2 linked regions of the Coturnix japonica genome follow. The protein of the gene in region 2 interacts with the protein of the main gene of each other region in a biochemical or structural test. Links are inferred from orthologs where the notes say so. Each region holds a gene or a part of one and is shown on either strand. Other genes may lie near its edges. The genes, in order: SEC13 and SEC31A.

Region 1 (11,008 bases), on a different chromosome or scaffold from region 2:
CCCTGGGAAGAATCACGATCTGCCTTTGTGCAGACACTTTTAAGTTACTTCATGCTATCAACACTGGCAGTTTTCATGTCTTTCTTGGTGCCCTTCAGGTTAGATGACTGTGGCTTTCATTGGTACACCTCCTGTGGCAGAAATTGTATTCCTACTCCAACAAAATAATTTGAACTTGTACGTGAGCAAGAGTGAAAAATACCCACCTTGATATCAACACTGTTATTGTCATCTTCTCCCTCTGTTTCATCTGTATCCCAAAAGCTTTCTGTGCCACGGCGATGTAATCTTGCTGCTGGTTTTCTTGTATTTTTTTGTTGCTAGAAAGCAAGCAAATTAGCATCTGTGTAAAATTCCTGTAATCAAAGTGGTCTGTAGCAGGGAAAATAGAACTCATAATTAACGCAGATGTAGTAAATTAGTTAGAACCACTGCTGCTTCTTCTTTTGAAGTTATGATTACTTAAAGCTATTGATGGCTTCTTTTAAAGTTATGTGGATGTGTGGGTATAAAATAACTGCACTACTATTATGCATTCACTTTATCAGCAGTTTGTTTAAGGGTTCATTATGGAACAGCCACCTCCCAATTCATTTTCAAAGTGCAACTTATTTAAACAGCTGCTTTGCATTTGTTTGGGGTTTTTTATTCAGTTGGTTGGTTTGCTTCTAAGATTAGTAGTTTCATTTCCTCATGTGAATTATCTGTTACAGTAATTCTCTGGAATCCCTCCTACCTCTTCCAGAAATATTTTTTTTCAAAACCTCTAAGCACTGTAAAGAATTTGGCTTTAAGGAATTATAGAGGAAGACCATTTCAAAAAAGCATTATGCTGAATTTTTACCTGTATGTTTTTATATGCAGGGCTTAAAAAACTAGAGCCAGCCAGTGCAGTTTCTGTCTCGAGGATGCTGAGAAGGAGAATTCCTAGCAGAGTAACTCTGAGAAACATGATTGTCTTCGTTAGGTGGTGCTCCAAACTGAAAACACAGAGTAAACATTAAACATATTTTCTATCTCTGTATTTCGTTGAATCCTAAGCCAGTGAAAATGTTTCTCCTGATTTGAATGATATGCAGTTGTTTCTAAAAACGGATACAGACAGAAAGCACAATTGTTGCATGCAAAAATGCAATAATATACCCTGTCAAAAGAGATTCTTACTTACTGTGTTTTCTTCTATAACTGAGATGTAATGACTGGAGCAGACTGGTTAGCTGAGAGGAATTGCAGAGGAAAACTGGCGAAAGCTTGGAAGGGCTCTGAAACTTCACCAGGTTATCTCTGTCACTTCACCAAACTGCTGCTTTCTGAAGCACCCTATATAGAGAGTGGGGTATTTGTTCTGTGCTGTGATATTTCTGGGAATGCAGTCTGACGTGCGTTTAGATTCCTTGGAAACATGGTGTGCTTGTAAGATAAGAGCTGACAAAAACGTGAAAACCGCATACATCTGTTGCTGAGTTCCTGTCTACGCATAATGAAGTTGTGCAGGGAATCGTGTGTTTCTTGTTTTATTTTTCTGCTGTGGCATTAACATCATTCCTTCTAAAAACTAGTGCCTGTAATGGCTATTTTTTTGAAAGTCCTGAGCCCTTCCACTGTTATCTGGTGTGCTGTAACAGAAAAGAAGTGGAACTGTATTCCTGGCCTACAGTAACAGCCGTGTCTCGTGTTTGCCCCTAAGTGTGCTTCCTCTTGTCTACGTTCTCTCCTGGGTTCTGTTCTATCAAATTTTGTTCTTTGCTGAAGGACTGAAAACAAAGATGTGTCCTAGAAACATCATTTCTGTTACTTTGAAAATGAAATAATGCACCTTGAAGATGTCAGTGAATAGTTGCAGCGATGTCTGGGGCTCTAGAAAGCATCCTGTGAGGATATTCTTCAAACCCTCAGGAACAGAAGGAACGAAGTGGGAACATACAGTAAAGGATGACAAATTTACACCTGTTACTTGTGTTCTAGCTAGACTTGAATGATGCGGCTGATCTGTGGGATTTCTTCTGTGCTACAGCTCACAAATCTTCAGTGGTAGGATTGAGGGTCGTAGGGCAGCTGAGAACAAATGCCCTCTGCAACAGAGCTATGTTAAGAAGTTCTGGTAGAATTAGATCACCATCTTGACTTTTGTCTGAGAGCCTGCTGGTAGAGAACACCAAGGAGCACAAAGAAAGTAGGCAGTGGATAATAATAAGAACCACTGGAGAGCTTCTGGGTCCTAACAGAAGTCCCCTGCATTGTCATGGTATACTGTGGACTCTGGCTAGACTTGGCACTTATTAGCCCTTACGAAGCTAAATACCATACATGAGAGCCACACTAAGGCATCTGTCAAGGTAGACTACAGAAAACCCCAATAAGGCCCCCTGTGAAAGATTTCCAAATACAGCACACCAGACTTTAACCAATAAGACTTTATTTTATTGTCTAAACAAAAACCTGAGGTACAGTATAGAATTGTGGCTAAAAAAAAAAAGTCTTCAAATTGTATTTTCATTTGTTGATGTTCTTTAAATAAACAAGTTTGAGATTAGCGTAAAGCAAAATAGATATGCATTCTGCTACTCTTTTTCATCTTTGGGAATGCACTGAGATTTTCATGTATCTGAGCATATTACTTTCAGGGAAACCCACACACCATTTCAGTACTACCAGAACACTGGCTACTGCTGACTCCACCAGCCTGCTCCATCACTTGAAGTAGTTTTGGCCTTTGAGTGGCCAGATGGGTTACACAGATGGTTTCACACACGAGCACTTTCATTGCCTGCCTCCTCCTGTTCCTGCTCAAGTGCTTGAAGTGTATCCAATTAAATCTAACTCCTAAACTAGAAGGCAGGTTACAGTTTTTACTGTGTTAGGGAGTAGCACAAGGCACAATACTTTGCTCCTCTCTTCATCTTTAATTTAAGGGAATGTCAAGTAAGGCTGATTTTCTACACAATGTAGCCCCCCAGTATTGTTTAAGATTGCTCATAGAATTGGCTAATTATTTCCCATGTTCACGTCCAGCTTGGATAAAACCAGTTCTCATCTGATTCAAGAAACATTGCAAATCAGGTATAGCCATCACTTCCAGCAGCTGGACTGGTCAGTCCTCATCACTGCTCATTCTGCTGCCCTTCTGTAATGGCAGACACTCCTCCTTGGCCCTTGTTGACATCGCTGATGCATGCCCACAACCCATCTACTGACTCCTTCCACAGCGTGACCTCAAAAACAGAGCAGGAAAAGATGTTAAGTCTTACACATTCTCAGTTTCTCATTTTCTTTGTAATGATTGCATCACTAAGATGGTAATGGTCTATAAGTATAGCAGTGTGTCAGAGTTCTTTCAAGCATCAAATTATTTATTGCTGTTTGCTAAATCATTATCCAGCAATAAAGGGAGTAAGAATTAATTCCAATGGTAATATCCTTACAAAATAAAATTAAGCCTACATTTCCAATCAGGACTAAGAATGCAGTGCATGTAGTTTGCCAGAGGTTGGAGTCTTCCTCCCCTTTAGGTAAATAAATAAATAACCACAAAAAAACACCACTGCATCAAAGGGAAGTCTTTAAAAGTCTTAACTCAAAACAACAAAAGTGAAAATATGACATGCAAGAGCAAACTGAGGCTGCAGTACTCACTTTATTGTCTCCTCCAGACACTGCGAGTATATTTGCAGTAATGGACCAACTCACATGCCAAACAACATCATTGAACTTGTGCAGCAATTTTGGTGACCATGAATTTCCAGAGGCATCATCACACGTCCAGATAAACACTCTGCCATCCTATAACAACAAACAGAATTGGCTACCATGAGTTAGTAATACAAAAACCAAGCTTGTCTGCATTGCCAATGATGACTGCACTTACACAGGCATGAACTCTAAATGTGTCTATTTGCATATTCACTGTACATGACGGTCTTTTTCCTTTCTATAGCCAAAAGCAAGGCGTAAGTACAGCTCACTCCTACCTAAGTCTCACCTGTGAACAGCTAGCAATAGTACTTGTTGGCAAGCCTATGGATGGAGCCCAGGCTACATCTCGGACCCAGTCACTGTGTGCCTCCAGCTTCTGCTCTTCTTTCCACTGACCATCTTCTTCTCTGAAAACATATTTACACAGATAAGATTAAGCAGATCTCACACGAATTGCTATGAGAGTTTCTAAGACATTAAGTTGTTTCTATTTTTAAAGTGCTTTTCTAAAATAGTAAAAGATAGTTAAAGATGAAAGCATATAGATGCCTGAAGTATAATTCAAGGTGCTAATACAGACATTCAGAAACCATAAAGAATGAAGTTCTTAAGCCTGGTAAGAGAGCACTTACTTCCAGATCTTGACAAGGTTGTCACAACCACCAGATGCAAATCTTTTGATATAGTTTGGTTTCTGACCAGACGGTTGCTCTATGAGGCTGCCTGGTACAACAGCAGGAGCCCAGCTAACTGCATTACATCCGATCTATGCAAGGAAAAAATAAGGTCATTACTAAAAGCTGTGGAGGGAGCAAAGGACATCTATGCTGGATGGATAAGAACTCCAAACATTGTTCTATTCTTGACTGGACATTTATTCAGGAAGTGTTATGTAGCCAAGTAACTGTCTTACAGGCAAATATCATTTTGGAAATGTATACAGTGGAGATAGATTAAAAAAAAAAAAAGCAGAGGTGCAAGATGTATGCTGTTGCTAAGAGTGAGGAATGCAGAAAGAATCTGTGTGCCCACAGCTCCGTTTTCTTTTAATGCAAGCCACCATCATTATCTGCTTAGATGGCTGTCAAGTTTTGTTTAAACAAGAAGTCCCACTGCTGTGGGAAAACCACGAGTTTTTCCCTGCAGTTTTTCCAGCTTCTTGTTGAAGTTTACTCACAGCCAGGTTGTACGAGGTATTCTGAGTATCAAAGCCATTTCCCACTATGTCACTTCCAGCACTGTGTTTAACAGTCATGATCAGATGTACTATCAGTGCTCTTTAATGGCTTTCACCTCTTATTTTCTACTTCACTTCACTTACTATAAAACATACTTTCTTACTTTAGATTTATTTAAAACAAGTTATTTTTCGGTTTTGGAGAACAATTCACAATATTTAATTGTATTTCAGTATTTATTTAGTCTGCACACTCTGAAGCATCAGCTCAATCCTCATCCATGGCTCCAACTTACAGTGTGTGCGTTGCTGATCTTTTTCACCTCCCACTGCCCATCACCAGTGTAGCTCAGTAATGAAATGGCGCCATCAGAGCTCCCACAGGCCAAGATCAGTCCATAGTCATGTGGTGCCCAGCAGACAGAATTCACTGTGAGGGATGAGACAGACTGGGTTACAACACAGTGCTAAAACTGCTTAACCCAATCACTGACTAGTACCAGTGAATGGTCACTAAAAGCGAGCAGCTTTGCAAGCTAAGAAGAGTCTTTGCATTCCTGAATTTCAGCAGACAATTACCACAGTTTATCGTATGATGGAAAACTGCCTCTAGTTGTAGCAGACCACCAGAACAGCACTTTCAGTGAGATAAAATCCTCTTGACTGTCCTGTGCAACAGCGAAGAGGTATCAGTGATTCTAGAACAAAGACTGACAAGCTGGAACAGCATTTAAAGTCCAGATCAGTAGCAAAACCAAGGTATGCATCCATTATACACTCATTTTTAACACTGGCTTAGTCTCAGGAGCATGGACCAAGAGTATATTCTAGTTGATTCCTTTGAGAATAAAGAACAATACTGAACAGCAAAGCAGCATTTCTTTCTATGGGCTTTGGCATGCTGAACACTTCAGAAATATTTCAGCTTTGCTTATAGGAGGACTGATCATCTCAACAAAACACTTTCAACTGGAAAACCAAACACAGCATACTAAAATTCCACTTTTTCCTTTCCTCCTTAGTGGATACATACAACACTATTTCAAGACTTCAGTATCCTACAACCTTATTTATCCAAAGCTGATTTACTTGTCCTGTGAAAATGCTGTATGTACCAAGACAGCTGGTTCTCCAGCAGGATGCTGTTCTGCAGATGTCCTTCCTGCGCAGAACAGACTTAGTGTCTTCTTTCCATTAACTTATCACAATCTGATGGAAGATTTCTGCCTAAACAATGACGGATTTATTCCAGTCCAAACCCCATTGCAGTCCCAGCTCCACACACCACAAACCTGAGGAATCGTGTCCTGTGTACTCGTAGGTCTTTTCCCAAGTGCCATTTTCTTCCTTCCAGATAATAACCTTCCTGTCATAGGAGCAGGAAGCCAAGATGTTTCCATACATAGGATGAGCCCAGGCAACCTGCCATACTGGACCTTCATGCCTGCAAGAAACAACATTATCTGGAAGAGCTGATAGAGATGCATTCTGGTTGTGGCTGTTTAAGCCATCACATCACAAACCATTGTTCTGTACATCACTAATACAATGATATAAAGAATATGAGTAAAATCAAGATGAAAAATAGGGCACGACTGCCAGATAAAGCCATTACCATTGAACACAACTCCAAATATTTATCCTTGGATTAAGACTCTGAGTTCAATTCTATAGAATTATTTAGAACAACACGCCACAAAGAACCACCCTGGAGAATTTACCACGCATCCTATGTCACTGAAAGGCTAAACAACAAAAAATTAAAGACTTGCAAAGAACGTCATCTTTTCAGACAATTTACCCTCTCAGGTCTGCAATGAGGATTTGCCCTCCGTTCCGAACATCAAAGATTTTCACAGATCTGTCTGAAGAGCAGGTCGCCAGCCGAGTGCCATAGTAATCCATCTGCGCATCGTGCTGCAAGGCAACGCACAAGGTGCTGTTGGCCCGTGTGAGTTCTGCTTTCTAAATCACATCATTACATTTCAGAAGTAGCTCTAAGAGCTGCAAACAGGTCACTGAGTGGCAGCAGGACAGGGCGAGGGGAACAGGTCTTAAATAACCCAGACAAACCACACCAGTCATTCATTTCCCCACCTGCCATTTTCTGACTGTTACGTGCGCAGTGTGCGGGTTTAGAGTGGGGCTGCACAGCACCCTCAGGACAGGAGCTTGGTGTCACTGAGCGCAAAGCCTTGACCAAGTTACATACTTACTGTGTAAGTTCAGTGTAACTGCACTAACAGCTTTTATTGGGCTTGAAACATCAGCATTTATCAGCACTCCTTGCTTTCATAAGCTGCTTTGTAACCCCTCCTCCTATGCCTGCACAGCTGCTCCCAGAAACACCAGCATCAAGGAGAGCAGAGCTGTCCACCCACACTCTGTGCCATTCAGCACACGTCTTTGTTCCATAGAAACAACCCTGGGCACGGAAACTGTGAGCGTTAAACTTTTCCTCCTTCCCATTTTCCCGCTCCCCATTATGATTATGATTATAGCACTATCAGAACTGCAGTCAGGATTCGGTATTTCACGTCCCACGTCACCTTTCCGTGCAGATACTCGCGTTCTGCCCTCTGACCGCCAACTAACGAACACGCAGCAGTCCCGGTCCAACCCATTGGGCTGAAGGCAGCAGCACGGCACACACTTACTATCATGTCCTCGTGAGAGGTGTCCACGGTGTTTATCACGGAGACCTGCGGAGGGAGGGTTGTGGTCAGGGAGCAGCGCTCGGCTACGGGCACACACACACACGGGCCGCTGCGGAGAGCGGAGCGCCTCTCCCGGTCCCGCAGGCCGCGGTGCTGCCTCCGCCACCTTCTTCCGCCGCCCCCCGCTCTACCCCGAGACACCTCCCCGCCCCGCGGAGCTGGGCCCGGGCTCGGCCCCGCTGCCCTCCCCGGTTCTACCCACCATAGCGGCGGCTGCGGGCCGTGCAGCGGCGGCAGCGATGGATCCGCAGGCGGCCGAGCGGCTCGGACGTGGCACGAAGGTCCGCCGCACAAACAGCCCCGCCGCGACGCCTCCCGCGCAGGAGGTTCCGCCCGCACCCAGTTCCGGCCGGCGCCGTGCGCAGGATGGGGGAAGGCGGCGCTGTCCCGTGCAGATGCTCTCCGTTGTCCCGTGCTGATGCTCTCTCCGTTGTCCCGTGCTGATGCTCTCTCCGTTGTCCCGTGCTGATGCTCTCCGTTGTCCCGTGCTGATGTTCTCCTCTGTCCCGTGCTGATGCTCTCCGTTGTCCCGTGCTGATGCTCTCTCCGTTGTCCCGTGCTGATGCTCTCTCTCCGTTCCGCTCCGTTCCTCGCGGTGCGGCAGTTCTCGTGTCCGGCGGTCGCTGTCAGCCGCCGCTCGGTGCGATTCTCCGGTAGCTGCCTTCGCTCTGTCCGCCGCCGCCTCGCTCCGCCGGCAGGGGCCGCCCGAGGCCCGACGCCGCCGCCCGGCTCCGGCTGCGTCCCGTCCAGGCGGCTGCCCCGCAGCCCGTCCCGCCGCCGTGGGGGCGGCCCCGCGGGGACTGCGCGGCCCCGCCGCCCTCCGCCATCTTCCTGCGGGCGCCCGGCGCCGTGCCGCCCCGCCGCTATGGCCAGCGTGTCGTACCACATCTCCAGCCTGCTGGAGAAGATGACCTCCACCGACAAGGACTTCAGGTGCGGGACGGAGCTCCTGGTTTCCCCTGGGCGGGCCGTCCCCGCCGCCCGGTAGCCGTGGCCCGACGCCGGGCTATGGCCGCACGCGGGGAGCTGTCAGACGTGCTGCGGGACCGCGGGACTGGGGGGGTAGGGCGAGAGGGGCCGCTTTGTCTCATTCTGGATGTCAGTAGAGAAAGAAAGAACTCCGTAGGTGCGGGACGGGCGGCTCGGCGCCCCGGCTGTGCGGCGGGTGCGTTCGGTCCGTTACGGCCGACACCTGTGACAGCTGTTACCGGCAGCCCAGAGGTGCCGCCCTGCCCGTTACCCGCCTCATGCAGCCCGCAGCAGCAGCAGCAGCAGCAGCCCCAGCCCCAGCCCCAGCCCCAGCCCCGTGCTCCGCTCATCCCGCCGGCCGGTGGCCATACTTGGTCATGCTCGTGCTGTGCAGGCAGCGCTGGTGCAGCTCGGGGCCCCTCCGGATCAGAAGTGCCGCGGTTCTGAGTTTTGGGTTTTGCGTGTGTTTCTGGTCAGCCTGATGCCGCCGCTGCCCTCGTGCCGCCCTGGGGAAGGTTCGCGTGTGGGAGACAGCCCCGAACCCCGGAGGGGCATTTCTTCCTTAATGCTGAATGACTTACAGCAGAGCCGGATTTAACATGGAGGTGTCGTCCGATGAGGGGGGAGCTCCTCCTCGGCTCCTTTCGGACACCCGTCCCTGTCCGAGGAGCACATTACAGCAGTTAAGATGTGGTATCTGTACGTGCATTGCTGAGAGCCTCGGGCTCCTGTACATTTTCTGCCCTTAGGAGAACAGGGTTACAGAATTTCTCATTGTGCGTTTTGACGTTGTGCCTGTAGGAAATTACACTGGCTAAAAGTCAGAGGTGTTGTTTTTCTCCTAAGCTGGGATGAGAAGTACTTGCTTGGTTTTGCTCATGGGAGAGAAATGTTGTGCCATATACTGTCTTAGGTTGTAAATAAAATGCGAATGAATTTGATTGGTGGTGGATATGGAATAAAGAGCAGAGGAGTGTTCCTTAATAAAGGGATACTGTAGCATCAGAAAGAGGATGTGGAACACTCAGGGCTGGCAGTGTGAGAGCAGCAGTAGATGTCTGTACTTTTCTTTAGAACAGAAAAAAAAGCTCTGCGAGAGGTGTGAGCGAGGAAACAGGGCAGGTTACAGCCAACACAGCTGCCAGGACCTGTACCAGCCCCAGGGAGCAGGAGGGTGTGAGAAGGAGGGAGGTTGAGCTGAGCAGTGCAGCTCTAAATATAAGTGGGGAATTTTTATGGTAGAGATCTTTTTATAAGGTATAAAGGAACTTTTTTAAGGTACAGAAGAAGTTTAAAGGTCTGGTATGGAGCCATGACTTGATTTTCCATTTTTGAGCTTGATAGACTTTCTCAGTGTGTGGGACTGTGCTGTCATTGCCAGCGATGTCAGAAGGAACACAGCCAGCTGCATTCTCACACCCCATGCTTGGTTTCCTAAGTCTGACAGTTGGTGAAAAACCACTCCTGTTTTTTCTACCGTACTCAGCCGTGCTCATTTGGGCACTGAGAGAAAATGCACAACAGGTCCCACAGTGCCTGTTTCAGTTGTAGCATAACCCATCCCTGTCAAGTATGTTTAGAAGAGAATCTCTATTTCTTGTTTTCGTAGACTTTTTAGCCAAAGCCTTTTCACCAGCTGCCTTGCTCTAAGTTTTCTTCTTGCCAAAAAGTATCAGTTCTATGTACCGTCTTTTTCATTAGAGTGTAAAGTATTGTACGTTACTTTGAAAATCTGTTTTTGTACAAAGAGTGATTGTCAAGAGAAGGAGATGCATTTGTGTCTGTGTATCAGCCAGTCCACCACTGCTACATTTCTTTCAGATTTATGGCCACCAATGACCTGATGATGGAACTACAAAAAGATTCTATAAAACTGGATGAAGACAGTGAGAAGAAAGTCGTGAAGATGCTTTTGAAATTGCTGGAAGACAAAAATGGGGAGGTACAGAACCTCGCTGTCAAATGGTAAGAGCCGTGTCAGAAATTACCGTGTTTGTTGGCAATAACAAAGTGGTCACAGACTCCACTGGGTGTTGCAATGGAGGCTGCTTCTGCTGCATTGGCACCCTGCTCCAGCCTCCCCTCCTGGGAGCTTTCCCTCACCTGCTGCACACGAGTTTCTTTTCCTGTTGGGAACCCTCACCCTCATCCAGGCAGGGTGAGCATGCAGATGCCTTTGTTCAAGCAGTAGGTGATTTCAGAAGTAACTGAGTTCTTACCAAGCTGTGAGGCAGAATGCCTGAGATTTCAGTTCTTTAGAGAGAAGCTCAGTTTAAAGTTCTGGGACATCAAGCTCTTCTCCTTTAGAAAGGCTTGAAATCTGGTGCAGAATTTCCCAGTGGCCTTGTCACTGTTACATATGGTATTAAGCTGATGACATGTATATTGCTGATATACAATTACTGCTTTATGTTTTTAAACTATTTAGCTTGTAATGGGTGCGAATTAAAAT
Region 2 (10,550 bases):
ATTCATTTGCTTACCTCTCCCAGTTCGCCATCTGCACAACACTCTTTATTCAGATTCAGAGCTGATGTAATCTGAAAAGAACCAAGATTTGTTAAGGAAGTGCCCTTTTCCTTTAGAGACAGACTACTCTCAGACTGCACAACTAATAAATGTAGCTGGTATGCTGCTTGCAAAACAGTTAACATGAAGTTAGAGCCATTTTCTCAGTCTGGTGATGGAATTACAACTAAGCCCTGTGCACCCCAATCTCTGATGGAAACAAGAGCTGCTCTGTGCCTTTAAATCTTTTATTGTTAACCTGAGGGCCTCAAACCTCACTAGGGCTGCTGGAAACCACACTAATAAAAATAATATCAGAGCATACAAGAAGAAACCCTCTGTGTGCCCTGATGAGGGAATAACGTAGCAGTAACAATCTTGCTGGAGCAACAAACTGGTTTGAAAGCAGTTTCCAGACACAGCAGGCACGTGGCCTTGTGGTAGGACTTTCCAATGTACATCAGAGTTCAAATTCCCAGCTTTTACCACTTGCCAAGACAAATCATGACTCCGGATTCATTCTGGGGCCCTTAAAACTGCATGAAATGTAATGAACGGAATTTAAAATATAGGCAGAAGATATATTAGTTGGAGCTGTTTTCTTGTGTTTTGTTTTCTTCCATTTCTGATCATATGTGTAAGACAAATGATAAATGAAAAAGTTTAGATTCAAGGACAAACTGCCAGCAAAAACATTGTCTATAATCCTAAGTTTAGCATTTAATTGGTAAACAGTGTCATTTTTATGGAGACGCTTTCAAAACAAAATGTTAGCTTGACACAATAGCAATAAATCAGACATTCAAAACCATTCCATCACAACTGGGAAAGCATTTGACAAGTTCCTGAGCTCAGCACTGCAAGCAGCTAAGAGTCACAATGTGCAGCATCACACCACCAAGCTAAGAATGTTCTTCCACCTCCATTTCCAAGAAGTAGAAATTGCTTCCTGATAATTCAGACTTTGCCTTTCCAAATGTAGCCGTGTGTGATCTCGGTTTTCTTTTATCTTAATTATGAGTGACATCCCACACAAAAAATGACTATTCTAGGCTTGTCAGAATGCTTACAGCATACCTGTCTGACCTGCTGGCTTCATATTCTTGATGAAAATTTTCTGCTCCTATATATTTAACTGTATTATATGTTTTACATGCAGCTCAAGACAACTTCCTCTACACTCAATATGGCCCAGGTAAGACAAAAAGTCGGACACTCATGGCTTATGAGTTCCTGAATCAAAAAGCCTAAGAACAGATCAGATTCAGCGGTGATACAAAATAAGGGTGTATCTTCAATCAAGTCACATGAACAAATTGTACCAGATATCAAAGCTTCTGGATGGGCAAAAATTTCTCATCAGCATGGGAAGCTCAGATGTAGATTAGACTGTGAAGTCTGTTGGCTGCTTTGAAGTTCCCATTGTAGAGCTGTATTCCAAGATGGCTTAACTAACAAAATGCCTAAAGCAAATTGCGATTGCTGTAAGAATTCCAAAATTACTCAAGATATTCAGTCCTCTCTGATACAAAGGAATTCCACAAATAACACAAATACTCGAGTCTGCCATGTTTGTACAGAAGATCCTGCAGCACTGCTAACACTTGTACCTACAAGCTATTAGGAAAGTTCAGGCGCTGACAAATGCTACCTGCTGAGAAACACACTGAAAACAGCATTGTAGAAAGAAGTTTATTGTGCTGGAATAGCCTGTGGCTATCACTAATGGCTCTTACAATATCCCACACATAAATGAATACCTTGGTTATACAAGGCTGTACTTGGCAGATAAATCCATCAGCAAAGTATTTAACACAAGCACAGCTCTCAGGCACGCTTACCTTATTCCTCAGATCATCATTCCTGTATCCCAGCAGCTCAAGATATTTAGAACGTGAATCCTCTTCAAAGTTCACCTTCAAAAAAAGAAGACTAGATTGCAATGCATGATTTCCATACACTCACCCACTGACTTTTCACTTAATTGGAAAAAATACTCAGTGAGAGCCAGCAACTGACAAGAAAGCATCAAGGAAAATAAAATAAAACAAATAAAAAAAAAACCCGACAAGGTCTTCAGTGAACTGAGCATCTGAGCAGGTAGGCAAGACTTCAGTCTGATTATTGCAGGTAAACTGTGCATACCTGCTTCATTTGGGATCTTCTAAATGTTCATAGTAAACAGTGAAGCACTTAAAAGATGTAGTGAAAGGGAATGACAAAAACAGAGGATGCCTCTTCCAAGTCCTTGTTGCTCTCATGGTCACCTATGAAGCCAACGAAGACCTCAGGCTCTAAGGACCCTCATTTTTCTGTTGGGCCACCCTACTAAAAGAGATTACGTGCACCAGAGTCCACACTCATCATTCCCAACATCCCTTCTGCTAGAACACTATAATGTGGAGAAGAAATCCTTATTGCAATGACTTTCCCTGCTAATGAAAACTCCTGGACTGCTCTCAGTTGTTACCTTTAAGAAGGCCCACACGTTTCTCTCAAAGTCAGCCTGGGCCACATCGATTTTCTTCTGGCAGTAGCTGACAAAGCCTTCAGACTGCACAGCCTCCTGCAGCTGTGTTGAACGTGCCAGGAACTCCTTCTCTGTAACGACCTGACTCACATAGACATAGTGACGCTGCGGCTGCTGATCAATGCCTGGCTGCTGTTGAGGCTTGGCATTCTCAAATGTAACCAGCTTGCCTCCAAACTGGAATAAAGACACAAGCAGAGCATGTAAAAATGCAAGTACGCACTTGGATATGTGTGAAAAAACTATGCATACATAACACACGCACATGTTTTCATTTGATACATAAATGATCATTCAGCAAACAAATATCAGCTTGTATCACCACCCCACATTCCCATGCAATAAAGCAGCTCGCTGGATAAGTGTGTGTGAGACCTGAGAAATGGGTCTGTGAGTATCTGGTGCTATGACAGTGCTGTACAAGGTGTGGCAGCAGTTAATTTTGTTCACTGCAGCCCATGCAGTGCTATGTTTTGGACTGGTGATTGAAATAGCGTTGACACCACACCCCTGTTTTAACTGTTGCTACATGACAGTTACACCACATCAGAGTATTCTGTGTCTCAAGCTCCCCCTCCAGCAAGGAGTGGAGGAAATGGGGGGACATCTTGAGTTATGGCATTTCTCTTACCAAATACCCACTATGCATGATGAAGCCCTGCTTCTTCAATGCTTAAACATCTGCATGCCAGTAGGAAGGGGTGAACGTATTCCTTCCTCCTTTGCTTCCACATGCAGCTTTTGCTTTATCTATTTAAACCGGCTTTATCTCAATTAATGAGTTTTCTCACTTTTATCCTTCTGATTCTGTACCTAATCCAACTGTAAGAGAGCCAGTGGGCAGGTAAACGAGGTTCAGGGGCTTACTAGGGTTAGCCCACAACACACTAAAAAACCCTATGCATCATTAAATAGATGCTCAAGTATCATGTGTACCCTACTTACAGCAGCCTGTTTACAAATTCAAACAATTTCGGCAGTGAATTGAATTGAAATTTAGAAAGAAATAAAACCAACAGAAAGGAAAGGAAAAAAAAAAACAACATTAAATGGTGCCTAGAATACGATTTCATTTTATAGCTTAAAGTCAACTGACACAGGCCAGACCAAAGTGAGCATTACAAAAACTATGGCCAAGAAAGAGGCTGACAAATTGGAAAACCAGGACAAGGAAATAAACTGTTATAAAATGACACATCAATCAGTGGCTAGGCAATATTGCTTCTACTTGAGAGGAGAAAAGCTGCATTTAATTTGTGGATGAGATGACGAATAAGCAGACACACTGATAAAAACAAAGGCAGTACTTTGGCACAGCAATCCATTTCAAGTAGACTGTCTGCCTAAAAATCTTCATTAATTCTCTTGGGAAACAGCCTCAGAGTCCAGAAAGCAAGGCACTGGTGGTAGCTGAAGAGCAAATGACCCTGCTCTCATGAAAAGCAGGGCCTTGCCTGCCTGTCATACAGCTTCTCTGCAACTCCTACAATGAGAGAGGAGCCCAGGCCTGTGTGCTGTTTCAGGGGCTCCTGCTACCTTCCATCAGAGCATACCTAGTTATCTTTCTCCACGCTGAGCCATATAATGCCTACAAACTGGACTGAAATCTCAGCTAGTTGCCCAACTTGTCCCTTCCAATAATACATTTGTTTATTCAAAGCAAACACTACACAAGTAAAAGCAAAGCCCTCAATTCCAAAACAGAAAGAAGTGCCTCTGGGCAACACAATGCCTCCCCATTTCTTTCTCCAAGCATTTTTGTCATGCTTTTGCTGGCATGCTGTCCCAAATGCCCAGTCCAGATGCTGTTTTGAGCATCTCCTGTCACCCCAGCAAACAGGGCACACTCTCATGATGTGGAACACAATGACAAATTCCCCTGTTTCAGATGTGCTTTGCAGGTGCCACCACTACCTGTATCTCCCTCCTGCCTGGCCAGCTGTGCCCAGACACGGTCCCTACTCACAGAGAACGATGCTCCCACAGGTCGCCGGATCCATTTGGGGGGTTTCTTTAGGGGCAGAACGACGCTCTGTGGTGCAGTCTGCTGGGGAAGCTGCAGGGGTGGGAGAGGCTGTCCTGTCCCAAATGGGTCAAGGTTCCCAAATGAGGATGAAAGCTTTGAAAATAAAAAGGTGTGGAAAAAACCCACAAAACCTAGAGTGAGACATCATCTCCAATAAACTGAACTGTTTCTTTTTTCTACAGCAGATTAGTACTCCTGCAAGCACACAGTTGGGACACCCTCCAAAGGCTACCCACAAACCCATGCTTTATCCCCTTTCTAACCATTTTCTTAGCTTCATGCTTCTCAGTACCTGGTCAACGTGCTTCTGCCTCAACCCGTCCGTGCTGCCTCCCATGATAGAGTAAATGCTGATCCGTCCATCGAATGCAGCTGCAGAGAGGATGGCAGGATTTCTGGGACACCATTGGATGTCAAAGCACCACTGCATGTTTGTGGGCAACTCATAGAGAACCTGGGCAGCAGAAACAAGTCCGGTACATCAGAGTGAATATGAAATACCATGAGCAGCAACAGCAACTTTCCTGTGTGCCCAGAGACGAAGCTGCTCTTCTTGCTCCCCAGCAGCCCCCACATCACCCATACACACTAACAATGAGGACGTGACAATCCAGCACCACACACCACTGCTTTATCTCCTATTCCCATTGACTTTTCTGTTTATTCCACATATGGTCAGCTAAGCAGGCAGTGTATTTCTGTGCTGCACGTGCAGCTACTGACTTGGCTCTGTGCATTGTGACGAGCTGCTGGAACTCGTGGTAACTCATCCACAAAACATGGGAACACACCCAGGCTCCAAAGGCAGTATGTTCTGGGGGACAACTGGGAGAGTTAAAACCTATGCTGCTCCCAGGAGTTTCTCCTGGCCCAGAACAGACAAGTTTACCACTACAAGAGACATTTAATCTCAAAGAAAGGATTTGTTCTTTGCTTGTCTACTAAAGTTTTGCTGAGGGGGCCAAGCAGTAACTGCATCACTGTCTCCCAGGAAAAGGTTTTTATTTTACATCAAACTATGCAGTATGAGTCACCCAAACGTAGAGCTCCCCAGCTCAGAATCCAGCTTGGATCACACACCTGCTATCCCACCTTTTGCCTTACACTTCTGCAGCCAAGTCTGGATTCTGACAGCACATCTCTCCCTGTCTGCAGAATGATCTTGCCCACACAACAAGCAAGAAGTCCATATTGCAAAAATTAGTGAAAGTGCTTGAAAACAGATCAACTGCTCTTAAATTGCTGCTTTACATAACACCATGACACCTCCAAACAGTTTTTAGTAAGTGATGTGCATACAGTACCTCGCCCGTGTTAGGGTTTGAACACAGTATTTTGGCATCCTTCCCACAGCTTAGTAGCAGCTCTGAATCTGCCATACTCCAAGCAATAGCCAATATACCCCTGTGTGAGAAGTCACAACCAAGTAACATATTAATACGAATGCAAAATGGTGATACAGCATGTTTGTCAGCAAGTTGCTACAGTAGCTGAGCAGTCTACGTCAAAATGTCCTCCCCACTCCTTCTTCTGTTTTTTGCATGAGTAGCTGTAAAGGTACAGTCACCATAAATAAAATTCAATTAAATAAAATTAAATTCAACACTTCTGTATGCAGATATGGTTACCAATCCACTCAAATGGTTCGACTGATTGCACCATCATTAACACATTTTATGCAAACTAATAGGTTGAAACAGTGATTATCAACATTCTGACAGCTTTTTATTAGCAGAAAATCTGTATCAGCTGAGCGACTGGCAGCAGTTTTGGCGGTAGCTGCAACACAGACACTGCTGCTCTTTACGTAAATCAATCTACTGCCGACCTTGCAGTCCAGCTGCTTCTCAAACAGAACAGAAGCAAACCAGGAACTTTAAAGTTATTTTTAATGTGAGGCCCATTCCCTTCCAGCCAGCAGTATCCAACACTGCTTGCTGCTGGAAAGTGGCTCCACCTAAGCAAGCATTGGTAGGGAACCACACAAACAGTGAGATGAACTAACTGCTATAGTCATAAACAGTGTGAACATTAAAGAGCAGCAGGTCACAACAAGCGTCTCGTACCTCGTATGGCTTTCCAAAACACGCAGTGGAGAGGAGGTAAATCTAAGGTCCCACATCTGAATCACGGGTAACCTGTCATCCTCCGAAGCCAAAACCATCTGGGTAGCAACATCGGGGTGCCAGGCCAGGCCCGAACAGTGCATCTAAGGGATAACATTGTGCCACAGCACAGGGTAACCACATAGTGCTAAAGGACAGAAGGCCACCAGTCTAAATAGATTTGCAAGGAAAACACAATCTCAAGATGCCAATTAGCAGCTGTACTTCTGGATGTTGCTTCTGACTGCACTGAGATTGGGATACTGTCCTCATCTCCACGAGCGAGACTTGGAGTGAGATCCTGAAGGCTCTCCTGTTTATAACTGTTTTAATACAAGAATACTGTAAAAGCAGCTGAACAGAGTTTTTTCACTACTTTAGTATTTATTGGTATTTTAATAAAAGCCATCATTACGCAGAGGCTATCATCACATGAAAGCTCCATCAGAGCATTACAATTACACAGTGAAAACAGCTTACCGTACTGCTATTACATCAAGGAACAGATATGTAAAATATGAAGTTAGGAAGCTTATCTGAGCAGGAATGCAGTGACCAAGCAGCTCATTCAGGAGCACACACACGTAAATTTTATCCTGAACTTGCTACACCCTCAGTGTTTTTATAGCAATACTCACTTATATTTATAACAAATCATACAAATATTTCACTCTCCATAAGATAAGTGGGCTCTTTTCTGTATTGACAGCATGGGAGGTGTGATGGCTTTAAGCATATGGGAGTAGGGGTAATCAGGTCATGGGTTAAATTCTTCTGTGGTGTTCCATCACCACGACCTATCCTTGCCAAGCTCTGCCAGTGACATCCAAGCCACCTGCACTTCCCTGTAAGTACCGATGCAGTTGTGCCAGAGCTAACTCACCCGGTTGTTGTGGTCGCTGACTTTGATGATGGGTTCATTTTTCCTGAGATCCCACACAGTAGCTCGACCGCTGGGGCTGGCGGAGGCCAGGATGTGCTGGACTTGCCTGTTCCACGCAATGCAGCTGATGTCTTCAAGAGGCTGCCACACAAACAGCACAGCCTGTCACACCCTTTCCAAAATAATGTCTTAAGGAGTGGGGAAAGTTTGTTAGCTTTTCTACTTCCTTCCCCCAGAACAGAAAAGCAATGCTAACCCAGCCCTTCTTGGCGCACTGCATTCCCTAAAGTCAATAAGCACATGGACTAAAAGACTGCACAGCTTAAAAACAGACCTCCCAGCACAGAAAATCCTACACAGGAATCCTTAACAAAAGCAAGCTTCCTTCAAAATGACCACATGAAAACAAACTAAAGTCACTCAGGAACAACATACAGCAAAGGAACTTGGTTTTACTTACATTAATATGAAGGTATTCGTTATTTGTTTTACCACATAGACTGTAACTAAGATTGCCAGAAATGCAGCTCACTGTTAATTGCAATTAACTGATACTCAAGTTAAATTTTAACACTCTCCCCCACCCCCAGGCAGCTTCAAAGCTGTCGGTCTTAATGAGCTCACATCCTAAGTAACATTCGTGTTTTCCATTAGTTTACTCTGCAGTATTTCATGAATACCTATCTAGTACCTGTGTCTTTGCTCCCGGAGTCATCGGTGTGGCAAAATTATTTAAGTCCCAGATATAGATTTCAGACTCATTAGCACCAGAGGCCACCAGATTAGTCTGTAAGACACGTTAAAATATGGTAAGAGTATTTTCAGCACCAGCTTTTGCAGTCTTAGCCACAGACTGACGAGTCTGTGCCAATTTCTTCTTAAGGGAAAAGCAGCAACACCAGAGATTGAAGATAAATGCCAAGTAAGTAAAGGAACTCCCCACACCAAATCAGACCAGTGTGCCAAGAACAAGATTTCTGTCTCACTGAGGGTTCCTCCACTGCATGGCAAACATGTGAAGAAGCTACAGCCACAGAGGGCCCAGTGCTGACATTTCTAGGATAGAGCAGATGGGGAAGCAGCATTTTGCCCCAGGGCCGGGCTGGCTGGAGGGAACATGGCACTTGAGCCTCCAGCCCAATCCTGTGGCCAGGATGCAAACATCCAGGCAGTGTGATGTGGTTTAGTGGCACCGAGCACCCTTTGTCTGCATCCTACAGCCGCTGACATGCAAGTCCTAACTTCATAAGGGACAGAAAGAGAGGAAGCTCTTCAGAGAAGGCACAATGAACAAAGGGTGGCCTTGCTAAAAGTAAGTGTGTATAGACAGAAGCGTTATTTAGGAAACAAAATCAACTCAGTTCTCATGCAGCTGGTGGGGGGCTGAGGAAAAGCTGACCCGCTGAATCTAGAAGCAACTAAACTCTCATCAGCAAGTGAGAAAAGCTTGAGAGTTCTGCCTTAAGAGGCTGCACCATGGTGTATTTGCTCTGACTCCCTTTTCCAAGTGAAATATTTAGAGCTGTGTGTGGCAACAATCTGTTAAAACAGGCCACTCATCCAAGACTGAACATGATAAACAACCGAAAACCCACCTGAAACATGTTGACATCAAGTGCTCTCACTGGTCCCGTGTGCTTGTCCTTCTGAGCAATTATCACTTCGGATTCTCCAGCTATGATTTTGGCTGGGTCATACAGAATGACATTCCCATTCTCACCCCCAGCAATCAGGACTCCAGAGACTCTCTCGCCTGCGGTCATGCTGTGAGGCCCCCAGATCAGCTTGTGGTACCTGCACGACAGACAGACACAGGCTGCAGCCATCCAACACCATAATACGAGCAATAAGCCTGGAGGTGAGCCTCTGCTATCTGTGGGCAGCTGGTTGTACAAGGGAGAGAAAAACAGATGGAGCTGGAAAAGAACTCCCAAACCTTTTCCTCATCAGTGCTCCTGAAAGTGCAAATATTCCATCTGTAGTACTAGACGCTCAGCAAATGACTTACATCAGAAACACGTCACTTGGACCGCTATCTATTTCCCAAGCTGAATTAGAGGAATCAAATACACTTCCACAAGCCCTTTCAAGCCTCCGTGCCACTGCACAAAAAAAGCCCACACATATTTCCTTCAAACCAAACTTGTTGAATAAACAAAACAGCATTCCTGGGTATTAGACCACATAAAGCATAGTTTTCTTCTACATATAACAACACACTACCACATCACAGATGTTAGGCAAGCAGAAAGCTTACACTACACTGACGAGCTACTTTACGGTATCAGGCAAACCCTTTCTCTGGGTATCCTGATTTCTGTAATTCAGCGTGTAACTAGGCAAGGGTAGAAGAAATGGAACAATCAACAGAGAGGATTAGTATTGTACTGTCAGCAACATTCAACAGGCCTTAAGTATCCTAAAAGAAAACAGAAAAGGCTGAGGAACAAAAACGAATTAATCGTGTAATCGTTTTCCTTTTGCACTTTGCCCTTTTCAAGATACGGTTCTATAACAGCCCCTAGAAATTTTCCATGGGAGGACAAGTAACAGAACCTGTTACCACATTCAATTTCTGTCTATTTAATTTGTAAGTCATTTTCTGGGGGCAAAGTCAAACACTCAAAGGAAGCACTCTTAAAGGAGTTCAGCATACTGCCTGTAAGAAGTGTGTTCTGAAACCCAGTAAAGCAAAAGCCAGTTAGTAAGCTCTGAAAGTATCAGTTATATTTCAAATGGGTTAAGAAAAGGCAAAATCCAGGTTCAAACTCCTCACTCTGCCGCCAGTGGATCACTAAGGAGTATCAACAGCAGCTCTGCCCACAGCTCAGGCCTTCAGGCATTCTGTGGCTCTGCTGGCTCTTCCTCACCTCCCCACATATTACAAAAGCAATGACTGCAGGGCACTGATGGGCAAGCCCCAGCAGCAGCCAAGGGAATTATCGCTACAGAGATGACACAGATCAA

The links.
Region 1: the proteins of SEC31A (region 2) and SEC13 form a complex in vitro, tested with the Homo sapiens proteins (2 studies listed by BioGRID and IntAct, with this or other methods). The link is inferred for Coturnix japonica from reciprocal best matches to the Homo sapiens genes SEC31A and SEC13.

What each region holds. Positions count from the first base shown.
Region 1 is NC_029527.1:16,777,522-16,788,529, forward strand, and holds SEC13 (protein SEC13 homolog), read right to left. Parts: upstream 7,522-11,008; 5' UTR 7,495-7,521; coding exon 7,420-7,494; intron 6,836-7,419; coding exon 6,672-6,835; intron 6,315-6,671; coding exon 6,163-6,314; intron 5,301-6,162; coding exon 5,167-5,300; intron 4,460-5,166; coding exon 4,326-4,459; intron 4,101-4,325; coding exon 3,980-4,100; intron 3,781-3,979; coding exon 3,634-3,780; intron 3,213-3,633; coding exon 3,102-3,212; 3' UTR 2,400-3,101; downstream 1-2,399. Other genes in the region: cullin-associated NEDD8-dissociated protein 1-like, read left to right, coding at 8,453-8,520, 10,378-10,521. UniProt on the Homo sapiens protein: Functions as a component of the nuclear pore complex (NPC) and the COPII coat. At the endoplasmic reticulum, SEC13 is involved in the biogenesis of COPII-coated vesicles.
Region 2 is NC_029519.1:41,242,027-41,252,576, reverse strand, and holds part of SEC31A (protein transport protein Sec31A), read right to left. Parts: intron 9,378-10,550; coding exon 9,179-9,377; intron 8,371-9,178; coding exon 8,275-8,370; intron 7,725-8,274; coding exon 7,584-7,724; intron 6,805-7,583; coding exon 6,662-6,804; intron 6,000-6,661; coding exon 5,900-5,999; intron 5,050-5,899; coding exon 4,888-5,049; intron 4,689-4,887; coding exon 4,536-4,688; intron 2,747-4,535; coding exon 2,510-2,746; intron 1,956-2,509; coding exon 1,881-1,955; intron 72-1,880; coding exon 15-71; intron 1-14. UniProt on the Homo sapiens protein: Component of the coat protein complex II (COPII) which promotes the formation of transport vesicles from the endoplasmic reticulum (ER).